Linked DNA regions of Oryctolagus cuniculus. The protein of the gene in region 2 interacts with the protein of the main gene of each other region in a pairwise test. Links are inferred from orthologs where the notes say so. Each region holds a gene or a part of one and is shown on either strand. Other genes may lie near its edges.

The links. The genes of interacting proteins can lie anywhere in the genome.
Region 1: the proteins of SFN (region 2) and BAD interact in binary tests that used the Homo sapiens proteins (3 or more experiments, as listed by UniProt). The link is inferred for Oryctolagus cuniculus from reciprocal best matches to the Homo sapiens genes SFN and BAD.
Region 3: the proteins of SFN (region 2) and HDAC4 interact in binary tests that used the Homo sapiens proteins (3 or more experiments, as listed by UniProt). The link is inferred for Oryctolagus cuniculus from reciprocal best matches to the Homo sapiens genes SFN and HDAC4.

Annotation. Positions count from the first base shown.
Region 1 is NC_091432.1:7,042,505-7,047,348, reverse strand, and holds the end of BAD (bcl2-associated agonist of cell death), read right to left. Parts: intron 3,054-4,844; coding exon 2,863-3,053; intron 2,399-2,862; coding exon 2,273-2,398; 3' UTR 1,998-2,272; downstream 1-1,997. Other genes in the region: PLCB3 (1-phosphatidylinositol 4,5-bisphosphate phosphodiesterase beta-3), read left to right, coding at 311-397, 486-689. UniProt on the Homo sapiens protein: Promotes cell death. Successfully competes for the binding to Bcl-X(L), Bcl-2 and Bcl-W, thereby affecting the level of heterodimerization of these proteins with BAX. Can reverse the death repressor activity of Bcl-X(L), but not that of Bcl-2.
Region 2 is NC_091438.1:144,640,186-144,645,422, reverse strand, and holds SFN (14-3-3 protein sigma), read left to right. Parts: upstream 1-2,995; 5' UTR 2,996-3,098; coding exon 3,099-3,845; 3' UTR 3,846-3,980; downstream 3,981-5,237. UniProt on the Homo sapiens protein: Adapter protein implicated in the regulation of a large spectrum of both general and specialized signaling pathways. Binds to a large number of partners, usually by recognition of a phosphoserine or phosphothreonine motif.
Region 3 is NC_091434.1:1,666,448-1,672,487, forward strand, and holds part of HDAC4 (histone deacetylase 4), read left to right. Parts: intron 1-3,117; coding exon 3,118-3,202; intron 3,203-3,921; coding exon 3,922-4,063; intron 4,064-4,199; coding exon 4,200-4,239; 3' UTR 4,240-6,040. UniProt on the Homo sapiens protein: Responsible for the deacetylation of lysine residues on the N-terminal part of the core histones (H2A, H2B, H3 and H4).

The DNA of each region.
Region 1 (4,844 bases), on a different chromosome or scaffold from region 2:
AGCGTCATGGCGGAAGCCACCTCCGCAGCAGCTCCCGCGTCCCCGGGGCCGTCATGTTGCAGTCCTTGCCCGCTGATCGCTTTTTAAGTTGTTTGTTTGAAAGGCAGAGGCAGATGAGAGAGAGAGAGAGAGAGAGAGAGAGAGAGAGGTCTTTCACCTGCTGGTTCACTCCCCAGATGCTGGGGCTCAAGTCTGGGTCCCACGCGGGGGCTAGGGGCAGCCACGCGGGGCTCCCAGGTGTGCAGGAGCCGGGGTCAGCGCCGGCCGGACCCGGGCCTGCCCCTGCGCGCTGACCCCCCCGCCCCCACAGCTGGAAGAGGCCCAGAAGCAGCGGCTCGAGCGCCTGGTGGCGGGGCAGCAGCAGGTCTTGAAGCAGCTGGCGGAGGAGGAGCCGGAGGTGAGGCCGGGGCGCGGGCACGGGCGCGGGCGCGGGCGGCGCGGCGGGCGCGGGCCCGGCCTCCTCCCACGGCCTCCTCTTCCCACAGCTGCTGGCCCAGTTGGCCCGGGAGTGCCAGGAGCGGCGGGCCCGGCTGCCCCAGGAGATCCGCTGCAGCCTGCTGGGCGGGACGCTGGAGGGGCTGGGGGACGGGCCCCTGGTGGCCTGCGCCAGCAACGGGCACGCGCCGGGCTCGGGCGGGCACGCGCCGGGCGCCGACCCCGAGAGCCAGGAGGAGAACACGCAGCTGTGAACTGGCCGAGCGAGGTGGCGCGGGGCCGGGGTGGGCGCCGGGCGCGGGCGGGAGGCCACCACACTAATGCGTCCTTTTTTTAAAAAACAAAAAAACACACAAAAACAAAAAACCTTTTTATCTTTAGAAATTTTATTTTTTTAAGCCCTGGGCAAGCATCCCACACTAACTCCCTTCCTTCCTGCTCAGGGGCTCCACTGGACTCCTCCCCCAGCCTCACCCTGGGAGGGGCCTGGTCCCGCAGGTGGGCGCTGGGGGGCTCCCGGGCTTTCTTTAGTCCCTGGGGACTCTTCGCGAATAAACGTGCATTTCAGGGACCCTTGTGCAGCGTGCTTGGGGCCCCAGCTCTGCCTCTGCGCTTTCTGGGGGCTGTGGGTGCTGGCGGGGTGCAGGTCAGCCCCGGGACGCTCCTCCTGGGCAGGGGCTCCTCCCGGGCAGGGGCTCGCTGGCCTCCCCCGTCCCCGCCTCCCTCCCCCAGGCCCTGGCCTCAGCTCAGGAAACCTTCCCCGCCCCCCCTTCCTGTGGCCTGGCGTGACCCAGGCACCCAGCTCCTTCCGCTGGGCAGCTCGGCCGCGCGGGGGCTGGCGGTGCGGGCCGGGCCGGGCCAGCTCAGAACCGGCCAAGGCAGGCGTGCGTACCCGGCAGGAGGGAGAGCTGTGCCTGTTTCACAGATGAGCGTACTGAGGCCCAGGGCGGAAGTCCGGCGTGCTGGCCAGCCCGGAGGCCGCCGGTGCGGGCAGGGCAGGCTGGCACCCGAGGCCGGCTCTCCGCTCCCGCTTCCTCCCGAGGAAGCCGCCTGCTAGCGGGCCTGCTCTCCGCCAATCGAGTGCTTGCTTTGCTGTTTTTAGTTTTGTTTTTTTTTTTTTTTTTTTTTTTGCAGCCTCGGGCAGATGGGGTGGGGAGGCCAGAGGAGCAGGGCCGAGGGGCCCAGGGTCACTCCCGGCCCTCCTCCTCCTGCGCGCCCGCCGCCGGCTCCGCGCCCCCACGGCCGACCCCGTCTCCCCGTCGGAGGCACCGCATGGGGGTCCACTCGCGGCCCGCGGGGCCGCGCCTCCTGCCGGGTCCCTGAGCGGCGCTGGCCCCCGGCCGGCCGCACAGTAGCCGCTCGCGGGGCCTGACCCAGCTAGGAACAGTGACCTCCCCGGGGAGCCCGCAGGGTTCCGGCCGCCGGCGGCCGCGGCGCCTGGTCGCCACCCTGGGGACGAGGCCCTGCGTCCGGCCGCGCGCCGCCTCGGCCCCTCGCCCAGCCTCCGTGACGGCGCGACCCTGGGCCTCGGGGCCCCAAACGACGGACAGAGGACACTCGGCGGCACAGAGGCTGGCTTTATTGGCGCCCTGGGGCGCGCGCGTCGGCCGCGCCGCCCCGCGGGGGAAGGTTCCGGCGGAGCAGCCGTTAGCCCCGGCTCGCCACCTGCGCCGGGCGGGGCCGCAGGGCCACTTCCGGAGGAACGCCGGGACTCCGACGGCTGCGGCACGCACCGGAAGGGGCTCGGGCGTCCAGACTGCGGGACTTCCGCCCACACCCGAGATGGCCGCCGCCGCCGACGGCAGCGGACTGGGTTTCGGGACTGTGGGGCCGAAGGTCACTGGGAAGGGGCGGAACCTCCTTTCCCCAAATTGCGATCCCACCAAGACTGGATGACGCGCGTCCAGCTGGAGCTTTCCCTCATCTGCATCGCTGTGCCCGCGCTCTTCGGGCGAGGCAGTCCCTTTGGGATGGGAAGAGGAAAGGGTTAAATGAGTCGCCTTTCCCCGGCGGTTCCGGTCAGGGTCCTCTCACTTCCGGAATCCCCGGGAGAACAATAAAGACCACAGTTCCCAGCATGCCCCGTACTGAGCGGTCCGGGAGGCACAGGATGCTGGGACCTTGGGAATGGGAACTGGCCGAACCGGCCGTATCGCACTGGAAGTGCCGCCTAGAATCCGTTAAGAGCCGGAGAACTAGCATCTATAAGACGAGACCGCAATTCAAAGTGAAAGTGGCGGCTCCGAAGCCGGAGCTAAAGAACCTAGGCACCCGGAAGGGGCTGGCCAGAAATACAGATACCAGCATGCCCCGCGCTCCAGAGAGCGTTGGTCCGGACTACAGGTCCCGGCATGCCCTGGGACTCCGGAAGGGGCCAGCTGCTGGGAGGCAGCCTGGAGCTGCCGCTTCTCTTAGGCTCGCGCTCACCTTGACGGAGCCCTCGAACTCGTCGCTCATCCTTCGGAGCTCGCGGCCGTAGCGCTGTGCAGCCCAGAGGTTGGGGGGCGCCGAGCGCGAGCGGCCCCGAAAGGGGCTGGGCTCCTCCTCGGCCCCTTCGCTGTCGTCCGCGTCCGCAGGGTACGAGCTGTGGCGGCTCCGGGTTTCCATAGCTCCGGCGCCTGCGGAGAGGGGTTTGGGGCGCGGCGGCGTGGGTCTCACCAACGCCGGCCGCACGCCCGGTCCCCTCCGCGGACGGGGACGGTTCAGTTCTCAGGAGTCCCCCCAGTCCTCACCGAGGCCCGATAGCGAGCGAGGCCTCGTGCACGAAATGAGCTTGCACCGTGCGCCGCATAGCGTCCGGCACAGCGGGAGTGGGTTCGGCGACGAGCGCGCCTTCGGCGGGGCCTCTGGTGCCCCGGAGCACCCCGTCCCGAGCCCTGCAGAGGGAGAGGCCGCGCCGAGCTGGGTGCGCGTGCGGGCGCCGGGGCACTTCGGGTTCTTCACCCGATCGCCCCAGGAGGTGGGCACCTTGGGGTGCCCTGGACGGGGCGCTAATCCTGGCCCTCAGCCGCTCGGTAGCGGGCGCAGCACGCACGGGCTCGGTGAGCGCCCGGGTCTGCCGCCGGCTCCGCCAGCCCTCCCCTCCCCCAGGCTTAGAAAGACCTAGAACCACTCCCGGAAGCAGAAGGCAGCGCTCCCAGCCAGGTGTGCCCCCGGGAAGGCCCGGGGCAGGGCTGGGGCGGAGCCTGGAGGTCAGCTTCCGGACCCTGCCCGACGGCGCCAGGCAGCCACCCAGAGGGTCTCCCCGCCGCTGGTCGGGGTCCCCTCACGGTTCCCGACGGCGTCTTCCGAGGGGTCGGGGGCGCCGAGTGAAGGGCCTGCTCTCCTCTGGGCAGTGGGGCAGCCCCGTCTCCCAGGACCACCGCGGGAACAGGGAGCCCGCGGCCGCCCTGCGCGGGAGTGAGCCAGTGCATCCAAGATTCCTTTGTCTTTCAAATAAAGTGAAAATCAAAACTAAACACTAGCGGGGATGTGGCCTGGGGCACAGAGGCGGTTTCCACCTGGGCTCCCCATCCTGGCCTGGGAGTCGGCAGAAGATGGTCCCAGCGCCCCGGGCCCCTGCCACGCACACACGGGAGGCCGGCGCCCGGGCCCCTGCCAGGCACACACTGGAGACCGGCGCCCGGGCCCCTGCCACGCACACACGGGAGGCCGGCGCCCCGGGCCCCTGCCACGCACACACGGGAGACCAGGCGCCCCGGGCCCCTGCCAGGCACACACGGGAGGCCGGCGCCCGGGCCCCTGCCACGCACACACTGGAGACCGGCGCCCGGGCCCCTGCCACGCACACACTGGAGACCCCGGGCCCCTGCCAGGCACACACGGGAGACCAGGCGCCCCGGGCCCCTGCCAGGCACACACGGGAGGCCGGCGCCCCGGGCCCCTGCCAGGCACATGAGAGACCCAAGTGGCGCTCCTGGCTCCTGGCTTCAGCCTGGCCCAGCCCTGGCTATTGAGGCCACCTTTCTAATGCTCCGCTTTTCAAATAAATAATACATTTAAAAAAGAAATACGGATGAGGCAGGAGAGGGCCTGAGTGCCCGGTGCAGGCCGTGCAGACAGCAGGGAGCGGGCTCAGGCTCAGCACTGCCCCGGCCCAGGAGTGACCACAGGCAGGTGCAAGGCTGTGTGTTAACTCCTTCGTCTCCATCACATTCAGGCAGAGAGGCTGAGTGACTCGCCAGGGTCACAAAGCTACTGGACCGCAGGGCCGGGCCCAAACCCCACCAGCTGGGCTCTGGGCCTCAGGCTCCATGGCCGCCCCGGGGGGCCCCGGCCCAGCCCAGCCTGCCCCTGATCCTAGGCAGCAGTAGCTTGTCACCAGTGCCAGGCTGTGGTCCAAATGACACCCGCTGGTGCAGACTGAATTCTGAGCTCCGGCAGAGGTTAGGTCCTCGCACCCCACGTCC
Region 2 (5,237 bases):
GAGGAAGAGAGAGATCTTCCATCTGTTGGTTCACTTCCCAAATGGCCCCAACGACTGGGGCTGGGCCAGGCTGAAGCCGGGAGCCCAGAACTCACTCCGGGTTGCCCACATGGTGACCAGAGCCCGAGCCCTGTGTCTTCACTGCTGCCTCCCAACGTGCACATTAGTAAGGAGCTGGCTTGTCAGGGGATCCAAGACGCAAACCCGGGGACACTGCTGTGAGACGAGGGCGCCCCAAGTGGCCTCTGACCCCTACACCAGCCGCCTGGCCCTGCCCTCTTCTCAGTGGGGATAGACAGCAGCCGGGTGCTGCCTTTTCCGCAACACAGTCCTTCAAAGCTGTCACCACCGCTGAAGGGGCTGCCTGCTGTGGGTGCAGGGACCTTGAGCCCGCTGGGGGCAGGGGGGCAGATCCTGTACAGAGTGTGCGGAGGCAGCAGGCAGCATGAGGAAAGCCCCTTTGGGCCGCAGCCCCAGCTGCTGCCCTGCTGACTCAGGGAGCTGACGGTGGAACTCTGAGCCCTGCTAGGGCCTGCTGCCTCCTGCCCGCCCGGGCTCCTGGGCTTGGGAAATGGAGGCCTGGAGGCAAAGGGAGGAACCTGAGACAGGAACTGAGTCAGGAGCAACAGGCCAGAGCGGGCAGGAGGTGTCGGCTGCCTGGCTCCCGGATTCATCCCTGACCTGCAGCCCAGCGGGAGGAAGAGTGAGGGCCCCCCTCTGCCTCGCTCAGGGCTGAGCTGAGGCAGTCACGGCACGTGGTCTAAACCAGGCCCCTCCTTGCATTCAGAAGAAGCTCCGAAACTCCCACGCCTGCTGGGCTCTGCCTTCCAGGTACCCCCAACCCCCCCGGACTTGGGGAAGCCCAGGGAAGCCCTGGCTGGCTGACTAGTGCGAGGGAAGCTCCCTGAGGGCCCAGAGCCTGCTCGGTGGAGAGGGGGCGGCAGAGCTGAGTGCACCTGACAGTTCATCCCCTGGAGAGGGAAGCCTGGGCAACTCTGCCCCTCTCCCCTGTGGGCAGGGCCCGGTCTGGGGCCCTTCCTCACTGCCAGCACCCAGCTCTGTGTGTATATGTCTACAGAGTTGGCTGGATTTCTTCACGTAGCAGTAGTCACCATCCACTCTAGCAAGAGATTCCCACGAACTCATTTAATGCTCACAAAAGCCTCACCTTACACCGCCAGGAGCTGAGGCTCAGAGGGTCAGCCACCGGCTGACAGCACCACAGACTCACACAGTCTGATCCCAAAGATGCAAGGCCGCTCTGTCTTTCAGAGCAAAATAATACACATGCAGCAAGAATAACAGAGAATAAAGGTGAAGAGGAAAAAAACCACGAAGTTTCACTAGCAGATACTCTGGCTAAACTGGTACTCGAGCCTAGTTCCTTTCCTTCGTCTTCTGCGTCAGCGCTCCGATTTGAGCAGAGCTGTCAGGATGTCAGGGCCAACAGCCTGTCTGCTGCCTTGGGAGGCCTGGCCCAAACTTGTCCCTTGTGGCAGAGAGCCAGATGTCGTCCTGGATCCTCAGGGTTCTGGCCCAGGCCACTCTCCAGGAGGCAGGTGAATGTTCAGACACTGAGAACCGGCCCAGACACAGGCCTGTGAAACGGTCCCAGCTGAATCCCAGACGGGAGCCGCACCCCTGAGTCCCAGCTAAGCTTTGGCTAGGGGCAGGGCAGCTAAACAGGAACCCACCCTCCTTGGCTCAGTGCCAACGTGAAACTCGAGGACTGGGTCCCCACACGCAGGGACAGAGGTTGGCGACGGAGGTCTCCAGCTCCGACACCTCTGCTGTGGTCAGAGCTGGGGCCGTGGTCAAGTGCAAGGGACATGGAAACTTCTGGGAGACAGGCTGGGGGGAGGCGTCACTCAGCTTCCACGGCTGCCCCATAAAACAGTGTGTGTCAGCGCCACCTCCTTCTCCTCGGCCCCGTCTCTCCCCGGGGTTGCCTGCGTCCCCCCTGGGGGACCAAACTGGACTGAGCACCCAGGTGGCCTGCTTCCCAGCCTCTGACAGAGGACAAGCTGAGTCAGGAAGGAGAGTGGGACCCTTCGTGAGCCCTGCTGCTCTGTGATGGCAGGCGGCGTGGAGGGGGCAGCTGACCCGGCCTGGAGAGCCTCATGGGAAGTCCTCCAACAAGTGGCAACAGGCCACCGACTTGAAAGGGAAAATTGTGCTGTGAAGGGGAAGGTGTCCGACGAACCTACTGGGTGACTAATTACGCAGGCCCGGCTGGAGCCTCGGAGGCCGCTCGTTAAACACTTCGTTAAGTAGCACCCTGATAGCTGCCACCCTTCTGGGAGCATTTGGGAGCTCGGAGGGGACCCTGCATGGCTGAGGCCCTGGGGCTGGAATTGTCTCCCAGTAGACTCAGGAAGAAGCCTGGCCTCACTTCTAAAAGTCTGGAGCTCCCCGGTCAGAGGGGGCAGGTGACCTGGCATGCAGAGCCCATAGGAGAAAAGCCCAAGGAAGCTGGGTGCAGGAGAGAGCTGCAGGGACTTGGCAGCTGTGTGGCCCTGAGCAAGTCTCACAGCCTGAGAGTGAAGAGGCTCCCACACCACGTCAGGGCTGCACACCTCACAGTCACGGTGGGGACTGCACCCAGTGAGGACTAGGGAAGCGCTTGGGTTACCTCGCCTGAAGGGGGGGGGCAGTGCACCTGGCCGGATTAGCAGCCCCATCTTCCTGCACCCACCTGAGCCCACAGGCTATGCCAAAGCCGAAGCTGCCAGGTGGCTGAAGCCGTCCTTACCTCCTGGCAGCTTCCTAACGCGGGTGCTGGACAGGAGGGGGCAGCCTGGAGCCCAGCAAGGTGCCCGCACAGGTGGGGCCCACGCCCAGATTTCTCCTGCTGACTGTTCCAATGACTCACCCCCACATCCCGGCCCTTTTACCTTTAAGGAAGAGCCGGAAAGGGTGTGGGGAGAAGACAGGGAGGCAGGTCCTGGGCCCCAGTCCCGCCCCCCCGCCCCTCCCCACCCTTGCCTAGGCCAAGCCACCCAGCCAAAAGGCAGGTTGAGAGCAGCAGAGGCACAGAGTCCAGCCTTGGTCCCCAGGCAGCCAGCTCGCCCGCCGCCCGTCTCTCTGTCCCCAGAGCCATGGAGAGAGCCAGTCTGATCCAGAAGGCCAAGCTGGCCGAGCAGGCTGAGCGCTACGAGGACATGGCGGCCTTCATGAAGGGCGCGGTGGAGAAGGGCGAGGAGCTCTCCTGTGAAGAGCGAAACCTGCTCTCGGTGGCCTACAAGAACGTGGTGGGCGGCCAGAGGGCGGCCTGGAGGGTCCTGTCCAGCATCGAGCAGAAGAGCACGGAGGAGGGCTCGGAGGAGAAGGGCCCGGAGGTGCGCGAGTACCGGGAGAGGGTGGAGAAGGAGCTCCGCGGCGTGTGCGACGCCGTGCTGGGGCTGCTGGACTCCCACCTCATCAAGGAGGCAGGCGAGGCCGAGAGCCGCGTCTTCTACCTCAAGATGAAGGGCGACTACTACCGCTACCTGGCCGAGGTGGCCACCGGCGACGACAAGAAGCGCATCATCGACTCGGCCCGCTCCGCCTACCAGGAGGCCATGGACATCAGCAAGAAGGAGATGCCGCCCACCAACCCCATCCGCCTGGGCCTGGCCCTGAACTTTTCTGTCTTCCACTACGAGATCGCCAACAGCCCCGAGGAGGCCATCACGCTGGCCAAGACCACTTTCGACGAGGCCATGGCCGACCTGCACACCCTCAGCGAGGACTCCTACAAGGACAGCACCCTCATCATGCAGCTGCTGCGAGACAACCTGACGCTCTGGACAGCCGACAACGCCGGCGAAGAGGGCGGGGAGGCTCCCGAGGAGCCGCAGAGCTGAGCCGCCCGCCGCCGCCCTGCCCCCTCCGGTCCCCGACGCCCCGCGGAGAGGACTACTACGGGGTGGGAGGCGCCCCCCTTCTCCCCCTCGCTGCGCCGCCCCGGCTCCCAAAGGCTCCCTGGAGAAGGGAGCCGCTGAGCCGAGGCCGCCCGGGGGTCTCGCTCTCCCTGCAAGCCGCGGGGCGCTCCCAGCCCCTGGCCGCCCCCCCACCCTGCTCTCCGCACCCCTTCCCCTCCCGCCTCGCCTCCCTCCTGCCCCTGCGGCTGAGCGCGGCGCCGGGCGGCAGAGGCGGGAGCTGGGGTGCGCGTGTGACTGTGAGTGAGCGAGAGGGAAAGCGTCTGTCTGCCGGCGGTGACCGGCTCGGCTCAATAAACTCCCCGTGACACTCAGTCCTCCGGTCTTCTGCAGTTATTGGCGCTGGGCTGGGAGATGGGTGGGAGTGGGCTTTGCACAGGCCCCGATTTCCCCCGCGGCTGGCCCAGCGGCCCGCGGGCGAGACCTTGCGGGGGCGCAGCCAGGTTCGAGGCGGGGGCCTCTCCCCGCTCCGGGTGGCCCCACACTGGTCTGGTCCCGGGAGGGGCGGAGAGCAGAGGCAGCACTGAGGCGCCTCCCTCGGGCTAGGGGAGCGGGTGCCTCAGGTGTGAGGTGAGGCCGCGGGGTGCTGCGCGGAGCGAGCGGCACGGAGCACCCCACCCTCGAGAGCGAGTGAAGGGTGCACGACCTGGGGCAGAGGCACGGCGCCGCCATTAGATGCCCAGACCTGAGGAAAAGAGAACGGCCCCCCGCCCCCAGCAGCGCTCGGGGATGCGGAGGAGGCACCCGCTGGGTGGGAACGGCCTCGGGGTGCCTGGCTCGCTGGACCCACAGCCTCCACTCCCGGCAGGAAGCAACACGCCGGGACCGGAGGCTGGCGCGCTCCGCCAGCCGGCACCCCTGGAGGCGGGGCCGGAGGCCGACACAGCCCAATCACAGGAGAGAGTTTCACGGGGTACCGCCCTCGGGGCGCAATGGCCCAATGAGGGAGTGAGCAGTGGAGCCAGCGCCCCGCCCCCCGGCGCGGCTGCTCGCAGACTGACCGAGCGGCGTCCCCACCACCCGCCGGGCGCCGAGGGGGCGGTGCTTTCCAGGTTTCGCTCAGACAAGTTGCCACCCGCCCGACCCGGGAGGCGGCTTCCTCAGGGCGGCGGGACGGGGCGGAGCCGTGCGCAAAATGCAGCCCCCGCCCTTTGAGTCATGCGTTCACCAGGCGGTGCCTGGGCTGGGCCGGGCTGGGCTGGGCTGGGCCGGGCCGGGCCGGGCCGGGCTGGGTCGGACGGGGCGGGCCGGCAGGCGCGGCTGGGAGAAAGCCCGCAAGATGCCCCACCGCACTTCAGAGTGGAGGCAGCCTGGCCT
Region 3 (6,040 bases), on a different chromosome or scaffold from region 2:
CTGAGTGCTGAGTGCTCCGCAGACACCTGTGCCCAGCGTGTGCCGGAGGCCTGGCAGGGGAGGGGCTCTCAGAGGTACGCGGCTTATGAGGGGAGGGCCACCGCATGTGCAGGTCCTGCTGGGAAGCTGGGCCCCAGGCAGCCACGTGGGACACAGGCACAGCTGAGCTGAGTAATGAGACCTGATGACACGGAGTCTGGTCCACTGGGACTCCTGTGGTCCCTGGACGGCTCAGAGGCAGCTGTGGAGAGGACGTGGGGCCCAGGGACACAGCTGCTCACCTCTGTGGCACAGCGTCCACGTGGTTTGCTGGGGGCTGTCAATTCAGCCCGCCACAGCTGTCCTGCGTGCAGTGTCCACTCCCAGCCGTCTGTGCCCCGTGGCCGTTGGGCGGGACTTCGACCGTGTCGTTGATGGCTGTAGGCCCACTCAGTGGCCTCCTTGAGTTAATTTTGGGTTTACATTTTATGGGAAGTTCATCCTTTCCTGCTGTAGCCCCCACGGCCGCCCGCGCACTCGTCCTTGGCCAGCACGCCGGGACAGACCGCGTTCAGCCCTCGCCCTCTCAGAACATGTCTGCGTCTGCTCCTTCTCTGTGTCTCCATCCTCCGCCCCCTTGCTAACTTCTTCACCCCCCACCCCAGTACTGTTTTCTGAGTGTGTGTGGGAGGCCCCACACAGCTCCTCACATGCGTGCCGTGTTTGTGGTCTGAGCACGGCCTCGTGTCCACCGTGACTTCCTCCTTGCCTCGGGAATCACCGTGCTTTTAAATTTCCAGACGTAGGGGCTCTCTCTGTTGCCAGTCTCTAACCAAATGCACCGTGGTCAGAAGAGGCCTGGCTGGCGCTTGTGTTCCGTGGAACGTGTGTGGTGGCTGCTGTGGTCAGTCCACATGGCACTGCACACGTGTTTGGCATCACATGTGTCTCCAGCTCTGCAGGACTTGGTTTGTGTCCCTTACCCATGCTGCCTAGTTGCACATTTTTGTTTCTTCACCGGTTTTTGTCCGCTTGGCTGCTGGGTCTAAGACGAGTGGGACGCTCCCCCGTGGAGGCAGATTTACCCCCGTCTGCCTGCGTGCATCTCGTCGTGGCAGAGGGGCCCTGCCCGCGTGCACGTGGTGCTTGCCTTGCACCCCGTGTGCCACGTCTTCCAGCACTGCGACCCAGGGGTCTTGTCCTTGACCATCAGCCCCTTCGGGCCGCAGACGCTGCTTCTGCAAAGGGCATGAGGCTGGCTGTGACTCGCTCCCTGCAAGCCACACGTCCCTAGTTCCACTTGACCATTACTCAGCCCATTTCCTTTGTGGTCATTTATTTGAAAATCAGAGTTACAGAGAGAAAATGAGATGTCCCATTCTCTGGTTGATTCCCCAGATGGCCACGGCAGTCAGGACTGGGCCTGGCTGAAGCCAGGAGCTTCCTCTAGGTCTCCCACGTGGGTGCCGGGGCCCAAGCACTTGGGGCATCCTCCGCTGCTTTCCCAGGCCATCAGCAGGGAGCTGGATCGGAAGTGGAGTGGCCGGGACTCGAGTTGGCACCCTTATGGGATGCTGGTGTTGCGGGCGGCAGCTCCACCTGCTGTGCCACAGCGCTGGCCCCTGTTTATTTTTTTGAAATGCAGAAAGAGAGAGACTGTGAGAGATCAGTCTTCCATCTGATGGATCACTCCCCAGGTGGCCACAGTGGCCAGGACTGGTTCAGGCCTAAGCCGGTGCCCAGATTCCATCCAGCGCATTGCATGTGGTGCAGGGGCCCAAGGACTTGTGCCATTTCCTCGGCTTGCCAGGCGCGGGAGCTGGGAGCTGGGACTGGAGGCCGAGCAGCCAGGATGCTGGTTGCAATGCCAGCTCCAGACAGCGCAGACGCTTCTCTGGCTGCACCGACAGCACCAGGCCACGCTTCCTGCGGCATGCCCGCGTGCCTATCGGCTCCCTCGGCCCCTGAGGTTGTCCGCCTGGTGTCGCCATCCTGCCTAGGCATGGATTTCCCTTCCTGTTCTGCCTGCCGGGTCTTGCCCCTCTCCCAGGCTGCAGGCCCCAGGGCCGGAGCCCCGTGTCTGGCTGCCCCTCGTCCCTTCTCCCTGTTCCCTGAGGACCTGCGGGCAGCCGCACAGACCCCCACAGCCCACCCTCTGGGCTTGCTCTGGGCCACTGCCTCGGGTGCCCCTCCACACGGTGTTCTCCTGTCTGGTCTCATCGCGTGCCCAGCTTTCTGCTGCCACGCTTGGATTGCTAATTCATTCTCTCTCTCCCTCTCTCCCTCTCCCCCTCTCCCCCTCTCCCCCTCCCCTTCCCCCTCCCCCAAGTCTTCCAGGTCAGGTACCGCACTCTCTGGCTTTTCCTCACACATGAGTGTTTTCCTGTGTGTTTGAAGTGCAGTAAGCGTGTTTTAAGTTGTAACTGACGGTTTCAGTGACTGCAGTCTTGGGGGGTCTAAACCAGCTCGTTTAACTTTTGATCTCTGGGAGGTTTTAAGGTGTACGGAGCCCTCGCGCCAGTGCCCTCCTGGGCGGCTTCCTCTGTGCTGGCCTCCTCCTTGAGCCCCAGTCACCGTGCACAGCTCAGAGACCAGCTCCAAGCCGAGCCACACCAGGGACGGGGCAGGGGCAGGGGTGGTGTACAAGTGATCAGGATTCTCCGTGGAGGAGTCTTACCTCCCCGGTTGGCCCCTGGGTCATTCACAGGTGTCCCTGTGGACTCGCCTCTGCCTGTCATTCTGTGCCAACAGGGGATGGGCCCAGGAGGGCAGGTGGGGGGATGGCCACCAGCGGCCTGCAGGAGATGCGGGAGCAGAGCGGGTGGAGAGGAACACGATGCTCCTAAAGCACACTAACCGCTTCCCCTGGCGTGGCCCGGGGGCGGAGAGCAGGCAGCAGCTCGCGCCCGGGCCCTGTCCTCCCTCCACCTGCCGGCAGGAGCGCCGGGAGCCCGCGGCCAAGGCCGGGAGGAAGTGAGCTAATAGATTCCCGCGGCCACGTGAGCCTTTCTGAGTGTCCTCTTCCCTGCGGGCAGACGCACTCCACGAACGGCCCGGCAGCGGGCAGGGGCAGGGTTGGCCCCGTGCTGCGACAGCCACGTTGGCTGGGTAGCCACTGTGTGTCCCTCTCTCTTCCAGCTCGACCCTCTGCCCGAGCAGGTGGTCCAGCAGAGACCCAACGCGAACGCCGTCCGCTCCATGGAGAAGGTCATGGACATCCACAGTGAGTGGTCGGGCCCAGCCGCTGTCAGCTGGCCTTTGCTGAGCGGGTAGAAGCAGCCACAGCCTCCCGTGACGACACATTACCCCACTGCACAGGCCAGAGAGCGGGGGCCCCAGCAGCGCCGGGCAGCCCAGGGCTGGGGGCCCGAGTGGGGGGCTGCAGGGCAACCTCCTACCACTGCCCTGTGAGCACAGGCCCTGGGGGACCCCTGCCGGCTCGCCTGTCTCACACGTGTCCGCGCCGCAGATCCCTGTTTATCTCTGGGTCTCGGAGACCCGAGTGGGCAAGGCCCTCCGAGAGGTGGGTAAAGCCAGACATCGGCTCCCGGTGTGCCTGTGCGGGGGCTGGGTTCCTGGCCTAGAGCCGCTTCCAGCCCCGGGCACACCCCCAGCGTCTGTCAGTCCCAAGGCAGGGGCCCCACGGGAGCCCCCACCCCCAGTCCCACGAGGTCCCAGACATCGGCTCCCGGGTTCCTGGCCCAGAGCCGCTCCCAGCCCCGGGCACACCCCCAGGTCTGTCAGTCACTGCACTTGCGGGGACCTGTAGGTGCGGAGGGAGCGCCAGGTGATCCCAGGCAGGCTCGATGCCCCTGGCTACCCGGAAATGTTGCCCAGACGAGTGGGCTGGCCTGCCGCTTCAGAGAGGTGCTTTTGACTCGCGAGACCCCGGGCCCTGCGACAGCTCCTGCCTGGTCCTGAGTGCGCCTTCCCCGCCCGCAGGCAAGTACTGGCGCTGCCTGCAGCGCCTGTCCTCCACGGCCGGGCACTCCCTGATGGAGGCGCAGAAGTGCGAGAACGAGGAGGCGGAGACGGTCACGGCCATGGCCTCGCTGTCCGTGGGCGTGAAGCCGGCCGAGAAGAGGTGAGCTCGCGGGCCCTGGCAGAGCCTGGGAGAGGTTCCGCCCTGAGCAGGGGGCCGGGGCGGGGCCGGGGCGGGGCCGGGCCGGGCCCTGCGGTGACGGCCCTGTGGTTCTCTCCCCTCTGCCCCCTCCACGCAGACCCGAGGAGGAGCCCATGGAGGAGGAGCCGCCCCTGTAGCGCTCTGGAAGGCGCTGTTCCCTTGTTTGTTTGTCTCTGTCTTGAAGCTCAGCCAAGAAACTTTCCCGCTCACCCGCGTCTGCCGCGGTGCCCCCTCGAGTGCTGGGGCGCAGGCGCGTGGCCGCAGCGGGAGCCCTTCTGCCGCCCACACGCGGGCCTGGCAGCGTCCCGCGGAGCACGGGACAGACACGGCAGCGAGCAGACACACGGACACGCGGAGGCCAGGCACACCGCCGGCTCCCAGGAGGGAAGCCGCCAGAGGCCTGCGGCGACTCGTGGCAGGGTTGCCGGATTCAGTCGATGCAAGGAACAGAAAATGAAATCAAAGATCTAATAATGCAAAACAGACTTGATCAAAACTGGTGCTTCAAGTTCGGTTAGGACCCACAATTCCACAGTCTCCGTGTAAACCACTCAACTCATCTTGTAGCTCATTTTCTTTTTTTTAAGAGGAAGTTTTCTACGGCTCTGGCCCACCCCCGTGGCCCTCGGCGGTCTGCGGCGGGGGCAGAGCAGACGAACCTTTGAAGACAAAACCTGACAGAACCACAGTGCGAGCCCGGGGCGTCGGCTTCGGTTTCTCGAAGCCGTCGGAGATGCGAGTTTGTGCCTTTTTTTTATTGCCCGGATGGATTTTTGGGGCTGGGTTTTCTGAAGTCTGAGGAACAATGCCTTAAGATAAACTGAGCAGCAGGAATCGGTGGGACACTTTCCTGTGGCCGGTGCAGCCCGGCGGTGTGGCCGGACACGTGGAGAGCAGGCGCCAGCCGCCTCCCCCGGCGGCCCCGGCAGCCCTGGCGGCCCCGGCTCGCCTTTATTGCTGTTTGAGAGGAACGGAGGTCGTTCCAGAACGCGGCAGCGCCGCTGGGGGCTGCAGTCCAGCGAGTCGACAGGAATCCAAAGTGTTCTTGCCTCGTGCGCCCCGGCGCGGGCGCGCCCCGACCTGAGCATGTCCTAGGCACACTCGCAGTGTTGCGGCCGGAATGCTTTTTATGAAAAGCAAGTAGCATGAAGTATTGCTTACATTTTAGGTATAAATAAATATATATATGTATAATATATATTCCAATGTATTCCAAGCTAAGAAACTTGATTCTTATGAAATCTTGATAAAATATTTATAATGCATTTATAGAAAAAGTATATATATATATAAAAAAATTAAATGCAGGTGGAAGGCCCCGGGGAGCGCAGGACGCGTGCGTTGGCTGTCACGGTGCTCTCGCAGCGGGCTCAGCTCCCGGCCGGCCCCCGGGGCCGCCGCACAGCTGCCGCCACACGGCGAGCCCACGAGTTTGTCCTTTGATTTTAATTATTTTCTAAGGAAACCCTGTCCCTCTCCCAGCCTCCGTGCACATATGTACTTAATGAGTTTTTATAGCAAAGAATATAAATTTGCTGTTGATTTTTCTATGAATTTTTCACAGAAACAAAGATCCTGAATAAGCCTTGCTTTGTGGGTTCTCCGTTCTCCTCACCATTAGCAGTTTCCCAATGGCAGCAACGTCTGAACCTTTTTCTTTCCGTTTTCTACGCCTACTTTCTGTTTCTCGCCTTTGCGAGGTCATTTATCGTGTGTTTCTGTGGACGCCGAGGCAGCAGGCGGCCGCACCAGCGAGCGCAGGCACGACCCGACAGGCGCGGCGCCCGGCCCGGCCCGGCGCTGTGCGGGAGCCGCGGGCCGTGTCCGACCTTCGGTGAGCTCGGGGCCCTGTGCGCGGTCAGCATTAATGAAACTCCCCTGTAACCCCCGTGCAAGCCCAACCCCAGGTCTCGAAAGACCTTTGGAGCACGCGCGCGA